Linked DNA regions of Oryza sativa Japonica Group. Each later gene encodes a partner of the first gene's protein in a complex. Links are inferred from orthologs where the notes say so. Each region holds a gene or a part of one and is shown in the gene's direction. Other genes may lie near its edges. The genes, in order: SNF1-related protein kinase regulatory subunit gamma-1-like and SNF1-related protein kinase regulatory subunit beta-3.

The links.
Region 2: SNF1-related protein kinase regulatory subunit gamma-1-like (region 1) and SNF1-related protein kinase regulatory subunit beta-3 share a complex: the UniProt entries of both Arabidopsis thaliana proteins name them as parts of the probable heterotrimeric complex. The link is inferred for Oryza sativa Japonica Group from reciprocal best matches to the Arabidopsis thaliana genes AT1G69800 and AT2G28060.

Annotation. Positions count from the first base shown.
Region 1 is NC_089035.1:23,394,436-23,398,359, reverse strand, and holds the start of SNF1-related protein kinase regulatory subunit gamma-1-like, read left to right. Parts: upstream 1-1,235; 5' UTR 1,236-1,501; intron 1,502-1,900; 5' UTR 1,901-1,902; coding exon 1,903-2,062; intron 2,063-2,142; coding exon 2,143-2,585; intron 2,586-2,928; coding exon 2,929-3,195; intron 3,196-3,358; coding exon 3,359-3,531; intron 3,532-3,619; coding exon 3,620-3,924. UniProt on the Arabidopsis thaliana protein: Regulatory subunit of the probable trimeric SNF1-related protein kinase (SnRK) complex, which may play a role in a signal transduction cascade regulating gene expression and carbohydrate metabolism in higher plants.
Region 2 is NC_089043.1:16,341,279-16,345,202, forward strand, and holds the start of SNF1-related protein kinase regulatory subunit beta-3, read left to right. Parts: upstream 1-1,422; 5' UTR 1,423-1,520; intron 1,521-1,986; 5' UTR 1,987-2,064; intron 2,065-3,924. UniProt on the Arabidopsis thaliana protein: Regulatory subunit of the probable trimeric SNF1-related protein kinase (SnRK) complex, which may play a role in a signal transduction cascade regulating gene expression and carbohydrate metabolism in higher plants.

The DNA of each region.
Region 1 (3,924 bases):
GAATAACGACATTCCATTTGTTTGTTTGTTTTTTTAAGTCTTAGACTCGAATCCAGATGAGCAGATTGGCTCAACTTCTTATGTAAATTCAATTTATTATTTGTAACTAGGTTAAACAAATTATGTTGAATTGGTTAAATTTGTTAAGTTAAATTTGCAAACTTTAGCCTTTCATCATTTTTTTTCTGAAGCTCTGATGTATTTTACACTGCAAAGCGGTTGACCTACTTTTATGTAGTGATGTAAGTGGCCTATCTCACTACCCGCATAAAAACACGTTTACTCGTTCATTTCTCACACGTTTACCCTTGAACCCCCGGGATCGGTGGCGGCGAGGGCGGGGGGAGGAGGGGAGAGGAAGGCGGTGGCTTGGAGGTGGAGTGCAATAGTGGCACGCGAGGTCGTCACCTCGCCAAGGTCGCCGAGGGCACCGTCTCGCCGAGGTCGCCGCCCGCTGCCTGCCTGGCTCGCCCGCGGGAAGAGAAGATGAAGAGAGGGGAGAGGAAAGAAGAGAGGGAGAGAGAAGAAAAGGAGTGAGGATGAGAAAGAAGAGAGAGGGAAGAAGGGAGGTGAGGCTGACATGTGGGACCCGTGGGGGCCCCACTATTTTTAATTATTTTTTGTGTGTAGCTAACATGTGGGGCCTGGCTTTTATTATTTTTTGGGATAAAATTGCCACGTAAGCGCCACGTCAAATGCCACATGAGACGAAGATCAAGTCAAACCAGCCACGTCAGCCAAAACCGCCGAGGGACCTCGTTTGTACCAGTTTTGACCGTTCAGGGACCGATGATATCTAGTTTTTGGTTTAAGGATGAAAATCAGATTTGGTGTAAAGTTAAGGGAACTCCAATAAATATATTCCACTTTTATATGTGTCCTGGTATATGTGGCGGACTATTTCAACCGTGGGCCATATTATGTAGGCGGCCTAGTAAAAAAGAATAAAATTATATACTCTCTCTGTTTTTTAATAGATGACGCCTTTGATTTTTAAATGTACGTTTGATCATCATCTTATTCAAAAAATTTTATGTAAATGTATAGATATAAATCATGCTTAAAATACTTTGAGTGATAAAACAACTCACAACAAAATAAATTATAATTACGTAAATTTTTTGAATAAGACGAATGGTCAAACGTGTAATAAAAAGTTAACGGCGTCATCTATTAAAAAACGGAGATAGTAATATAATATAATATAATAACGAAAACGCCACCCCTCGCGCGACGTGGCCCCACCCAAGCGCATACGTGGCACCGCGCCCCCATGGCCGCGAGGCACCGTAGTACTAGTACTAGCTAGCAATCGAATCCATCTCCCTCCTCCTCCTCCTCCTGGATTGCCGCCGCCGCCCACGGTTTCCAGCAATCGCCGCGGTTCGCGCCGCCGCCGCCGAGCGGAGCAGCGCCCCGATCGATCCCCTTCCCCTCCCGCGAGCAACCGACGCCGGCGGAAGTCCCAGCTGCTTCCGCCACTTCGCCCGGTGAAGCATCCGTACTCACGCTCATCCTCTTCCTCATCTCTCTTTGCGGTCTTTACTACCCACTACGCCTAACCCCCTTTTCTTTTTTCTTCTCGGATTTCGTTAGCCTTAGCTTCTCTTCCAGATCCGCAAGCAATTTTCTTGAATTGGACCTAACCAGAGTAAGAGTAGCAGTTTGTTAGGATTGGATTGGGAGTGTTAGCCCCTGATTAGTTGACAGGAGTAGATTAATAGTGTACCTCCGTTGAACTTGTGATGAACTTTGCTAATATATGCCAAAGTGGCTTGTCGTGATTGGGTTAGTTATGAGTATCTACTGTGCCATGATTAGATTAGATGCGTGTCCAGATTGCTGCCATCTACTGGGATTAATGTTTGAGTGAGTTTTGTTTTTTTTGTTTTTTGTGTAGAAATGGATCGACCTGATGAAACCGTGAAATTCCCAAGCTGTGATGCGTATTTTGACACTATACAGTCCAAGAAGAAGCTGCCCCTCTCTTTGCAAGAATCGCTCACTGCTGCCTTTGCTCAGATTCCTGTCTCGTCTTTTCCTGATGTTCCTAATGGCCGAGGTACACACGTCTGCAAGACAAAATTAACTAACTAGTTGTCCGCGCCATGTATTTTTTTGATCCCTCACATTGCATTGCAGTGATTGAAATTCCAGGAGACACTTCCGTTCTTGACGCTGTGAGAATTCTCTCCAAACACAACATTAGGGCAGCGCCAGTGCTAAATCCGGAATGTGGAGCTCCGGCTGATTGGAAAGGGAGGTACCTTGGCATCATTGATTACTCGGCTATCATCCTCTGGGTTCTAGAAAATGCTGAGATTGCCGCCGTTGCTCTATCAGCTGGGTCAGCAACCGCAGCAGGAGTTGGAATGGGTGCTGTCGGTGCAGTGGGAGTGGCAGCATTGGGTGCAACTGGTCCTGCAGCTGTTGCTGGCTTGACTGCCGCTGCAGTAGGGGCTGCTGTTGCTGGTGGGTTAACAGCAGAAAAGGGTGTGGCAAAGGATGGACTAACTGCTGCTGATCATTTAGGAGAAGATTTCTACAAAGTTCTGCTTCAGCAAGAACCTTTCAAATCAACTACAGTATGCATTTTACTCTATGATGAATTATTATGCATATTTGGATTTTTTTTTCCTTTTTGTTAAATGTCGATCATTTATAGAGTCCAGTCAGTCTCAAATTATTTGGTATATATTTTACCTTGAACCACTGTTCTGCTGTGTGGCTACACCGAAGTTTGGCTATCCTAGTTACAATATATGCCGCAGCTTGGCGTGATTGAAAACTTCCTGTGATTTCTTAGCTGCAACTTATTGTTGCTAATAATAGTTTGGATATCTGTCCTCTTTGCCTCATTTGAATATTGCATGATGATCTTCTGATGTAAATCCTGCTAACCTTCATATTTTTTTCTCATTATTATAGGTTCGATCAATTGTAGAATCCTACCGCTGGTCTCCTTTTGTCCCCATTACACTGGACACTTCAATGCTTACTGTATTACTGTTGCTATCCAAGTACAGGTTAAGGAATGTCCCAGTGATTGAGCCTGATAAGCCAATTATTAAGAACTTCATTACTCAGACTGGTGTTGTTAAAGGACTTCAGCAGTGCAAAGGAAGGGATTGGTTTGATTATATTTCAGCGCTCCCTCTCTCGGACTTGGGACTTCCATTTATGTCACTTGATGAGGTAATTGTGTCTCCCTAATCCAATTCTTTACTAATGAGAAATCATGTCTGCCTACATTATCAAGATAAAAGTTATATCTCAAGCTGAAACATGCTACAATGTAATTTTTTTTCTCTTCACTTTGCAATAAACTGGTAGTTGAACAATTTTGTGCTTTCTTCAGGTTATCACTGTTAACAGTGGTGATCTAATCTTGGAAGCTTTTAAGTGCATGAAGGACAACAAAATTGGTGGTGTGCCTGTAGTAGAAGGTCCCAACAAAAAACTTGTTGGCAGTGTGAGCATAAGGGATATTCGCTTTTTGTTACTTAGGCCTGACTTGTTTTCGAATTTCAGGTATCAAACCATCCGGCTATTTGTTACCGCGTGAGTCATTTTCAAAATTTTGCATTTCCATGTTCCTAATGATAAATCTTCCATACAGGCAACTTACTGTCATGGAGTTCATGAAGACCATAGGTTCCACCGTTTCTGATTCAGGGAACGGCCTGGTGAAGCCACCTCTCACCTGTTCGCCTGACGCTTCTCTTGGCAGCGTGATTGACAGCATTGCATCAAGAATAACCCACCGGATATACGTCGTGGACGGTGACTTCGAGGTTGTTGGTGTCGTGACACTGCGAGACGTGATCTCTTGCTTTATCTATGAGCCACCTGGTTACTGTGACAACTATTTGGCATCAGCCATGGATAAGCTTGAGGAGAAAGGTGCAGGTTCTGTGGACACAA
Region 2 (3,924 bases), on another chromosome or scaffold:
CTTCTTTATTAAAAATGATTTTATCTCTCTTTGATGACTAATATTCAACATTTGTTATTGTAGTATCACTTTCTTATATTCATTATTTGATACGAGAAAATAAACTTATTTGGCCATCTACAATACCGAAATGTAAAAAATTAATTAAACAACATAAACGGGATATAAAATATAGGCGTGCCAATTGACGCACTGATTTTCTAATGTTTCAAATAAATATTGGGTCTATTTGGCTGCAACAAGCCAGCTGTTGCTTAGTTCCTGCAGGTAAAGAACTAGAGTCCGGCTTCGCGGAACATGCCTACTAAGATTATGTACTATAAAACATCTAAGTATAAACACCTAGATGATACTCCTACCTAAGCTTGAATGGTGAGGTGGAGGAGAGAACAGAGAGGATGAGCCACCCCTCATGCAAGAGAGAGGGTGTGTTCGGACTGTTGATACAGCCAACAGCAGCCCAACAGCTGTAATATGTAGCTTAATCGAACACAGCCATACTCTTTTCACAAACTTTAAGGAAGAAATGGAAAATAGTGATGTTGATCAAAGTTGTCAGTATCCTGATCTATATCTTAGTATTCTGTGATACTACAATCCTATCAAGCTGAAACAATATCGATCCTACGTAGTATCCTAATTTTCATAATATCTCAATCTTATTATTCATTTTTATACGATCATACAAAATTTTAGGTAGCAGCCCGATACTACGATCCTTGTGAACCTACCAAATATTATTTAAAATAAGACAGATTGAAAATAATACTGAAGTTTACATAAAACCAATTAAATTTATCAGAATTGATATTATATGCTTTAATTTATACAAAATATTATATATTTTATATAAAAGTTATGTATAGTAATACCGATACTATGATACTATAAATCAAAGAACAATCCTACCTACTATCTTGATACTTATTATCTTGATGTTGATTGGATGAGAGCGAATAAAATAAATACTTATGTATTGGGGTTAGTAAATTAGAGGCAATGCGTAGCATAAATTGCTTTCCAATTAATTAATTGATAATGTGAATAATATTAGATGTAGCAATCACCTCTACCGTAAACTTGCGCTCTTATGTTGTGACTTGCGAGCTTAACTCATGCTGAGTTCAGCAGGTGGAGTTAGGAACTCCATCTTCTCGCACAAAAACGGTATTACTTATTAATAATACGTAATTAATTAAGTATTAACTAAAAATACTTAATAAAAGATTAATACGATTATTTTAGCGATCTTTCTATAAAATATTTTTAGAAAATATACCGTTTATTAATTTAAAAAATATACGTGGTTAAAAAAAGAGAGGTGGGTTTGAAAAGAAAGAGAAGAACACAGACTTAACACTAACCGAAAAGCCTCACCTTACCTGAGCTTAAGCTTAAATACCACTCTTTGTAATAAACGACGGTAAATCGGATGGAAGTACCCAAGCCACCCCCAATTCTCCTCCTCGTCGTCGTCCTCCTCCGCCTCCTCACCACGCGCGACGCCCGCCGCCAACCAGGTGAGCTCACCACTCCCCCCGCCGCCGCCCGCCGCCGCCATCCATCCTCCCTTCCTCCCCCCCCTCCCATCTCCTCCTTCCGCTTCGCATCCCTCCCGTTCCCAGCCGCCGCCGCCTCCGCCCCCCTCGGCCCTCTGCGGCTCCGCCCGCTGACAAACCCTAGATCGCCGCCCCGCCGCCGTGCTCTCCTCCTCGTGCCTCCCCTATGGCCGCCGCCGGACTCCGCCGCTTCGGTAGTGGTCGTCTTCTCATCTGCCGCCCCCCCGAACCGAACCCTAGCTCTCCGCCGCCCTACCCTAGGTCTCCGCAGCAGCAGCTGCTGCTCCTCCTCTACCAGAAATCCCCGCTATCGGCCGCCCCCATGCCGCGCCTCCTTCCCCCTTTGCCTCGCTCGCCCTGTGATTTCGCCTTTCGAAATGGAGCCTCTGTGTGTGCGGCAAGCTCACTTTTATCTGTTGATTTTTAGTTTTGGTCGCAGGTGGCTGAGGAAGCAGTCTTCGGGTGGCCTTTGCGTGGTTTGCTTCATCAATCTCTCCATCCTAAGGTGAGTGAAAGACTAGTCCCACCTGATTATTTGTGGCTTTTGATGATCAATCTGGGTAGTTGGGAAATGTAGCTGCTGGAATTGTAGTTACTGAGATGGACATGAGCAGTTTACTTCTGTGCGGATTTGCGTGTACTTCAATTTGCTCTGAAATGCTTGAAGAACTATATGATTTAGCTTATTTTAGATCTGTACCTATTATTAGATGCTACACTTTACATGGAAGGAAGACTATCTCGTGCTATTTTTGTGCTTGGGATTTATAGTTGGCTGTGGTGGAGTACTTGAATTTTTGAATTATTTGTGTTCTTATCATATACAAAATATATGACTAAAGTCAAAGAAATGTACAGATTTAAGACCCAATTTCCTAACGATAACTGCATGTCACAACTAAACCTGTACATATTTGTCAATATGCTCACACACGCCAATTCAAGGGCCCAATCCCACACGTCACGTCGTAATAAATGAATTCCATGCAGTGATCCCACCAAAATCTTTACCCATAGTCCCCAAACTAAATAACGTGTTGCCTTACGTTATTATCCATATCCCGCAAACAAAATGACACTTTCCTATATTCTGTCTTCTTCCAACGCTTACCAGTTACCCCTATACTTGGAAGAAAGGCATCCCTAACCGTACCAAAGCTCTAACCTCTACTTCATCACTAAACTCCAAAACTCAAGATTCAGAGCAAGCTAAGCCTCAAGTTCACTCCATATTGGCCCATTTTTATGCAAGAGGCCTATGCAGCTATCATGCACAGCCAAGGATGGTATTGATGAATTACGTTCATGGGGTGCCAGCAAAAGGAAACGAATAAATGGAAGGGCGCATTTAATAAACACATAGCAAAACCAGATTTACCAAACTAGATCAAAGTCAAATGAATAAAAACAAATTAGGGATTCCGTACCAATAACAGACATCAGTTTTCGGTATCTCTTCACACTGATCTCGCTTAGGAGAGGAGGAGAGTAGTTTGAGAAGGCAGATTGTTATGGTATAAGGCAGGCATGCACTGCTGTGAACATTGATGATTCAGGCAGCAGTGTTGAATTTGAGGGAGGGGATATGATGGAAGAGATATAAGAACATGTTGGGGATCACCAGATGAGGTTGATTGAATTCTTGCTTATTTCCTCCTCTGCATTGGAACTGGATCAATTTACAAGGGAATTTTGTTTATCCTTGATTTCTTACCATGTATAGGAAATGATTTCTCTTTATGAGGCCCCTAACAATGGAAAATTAAAGGATTGTCTAAATGCTCCCAACAGATATGCTTGGATGCAACTACACAACATAGTCCTTTAGCAATCATCTACGCTGCTGGCCCTGCCATTTATGCACCACCTCATGGGCCATAGCATGACATTCTGCTACTGACTTTTTGTATAGTCACTGCATATGAAGTTTTCCTTAGTGCATAAATTTCTATATATTAATCACCACTTAAGAACTGTGGATCATGTAAGCTTTATTCAACTACCTCCGTCCCAAATATAACAACTTCCGGCTATGAATCTAGACAAGCACATGTCCAGATTCATAGCTAAAAATGCTTAAATTTGGGGATGGAGGGTAATACTTAAGCATGGTACCTGGATTTTGGATTAGTGGGCTCTTACGGTCTACCATGATGATGTACTGATTACTATGTCTCTGTTTATCCATTAAAGTTTGGTTACTTCATTTCATTTTTTTTGTTTCAAATACTTGTATGTGCTGATAAGGCTTTACTTCAATTTATTATGTCATTTTTTAGCAACAACCAGATTTTCATCTTTTGTCTGTATTAGTTCAGTTTAAGTGGTGACTGTTAATTACAGAGCGAGTTGCTTCTCTTGGTTA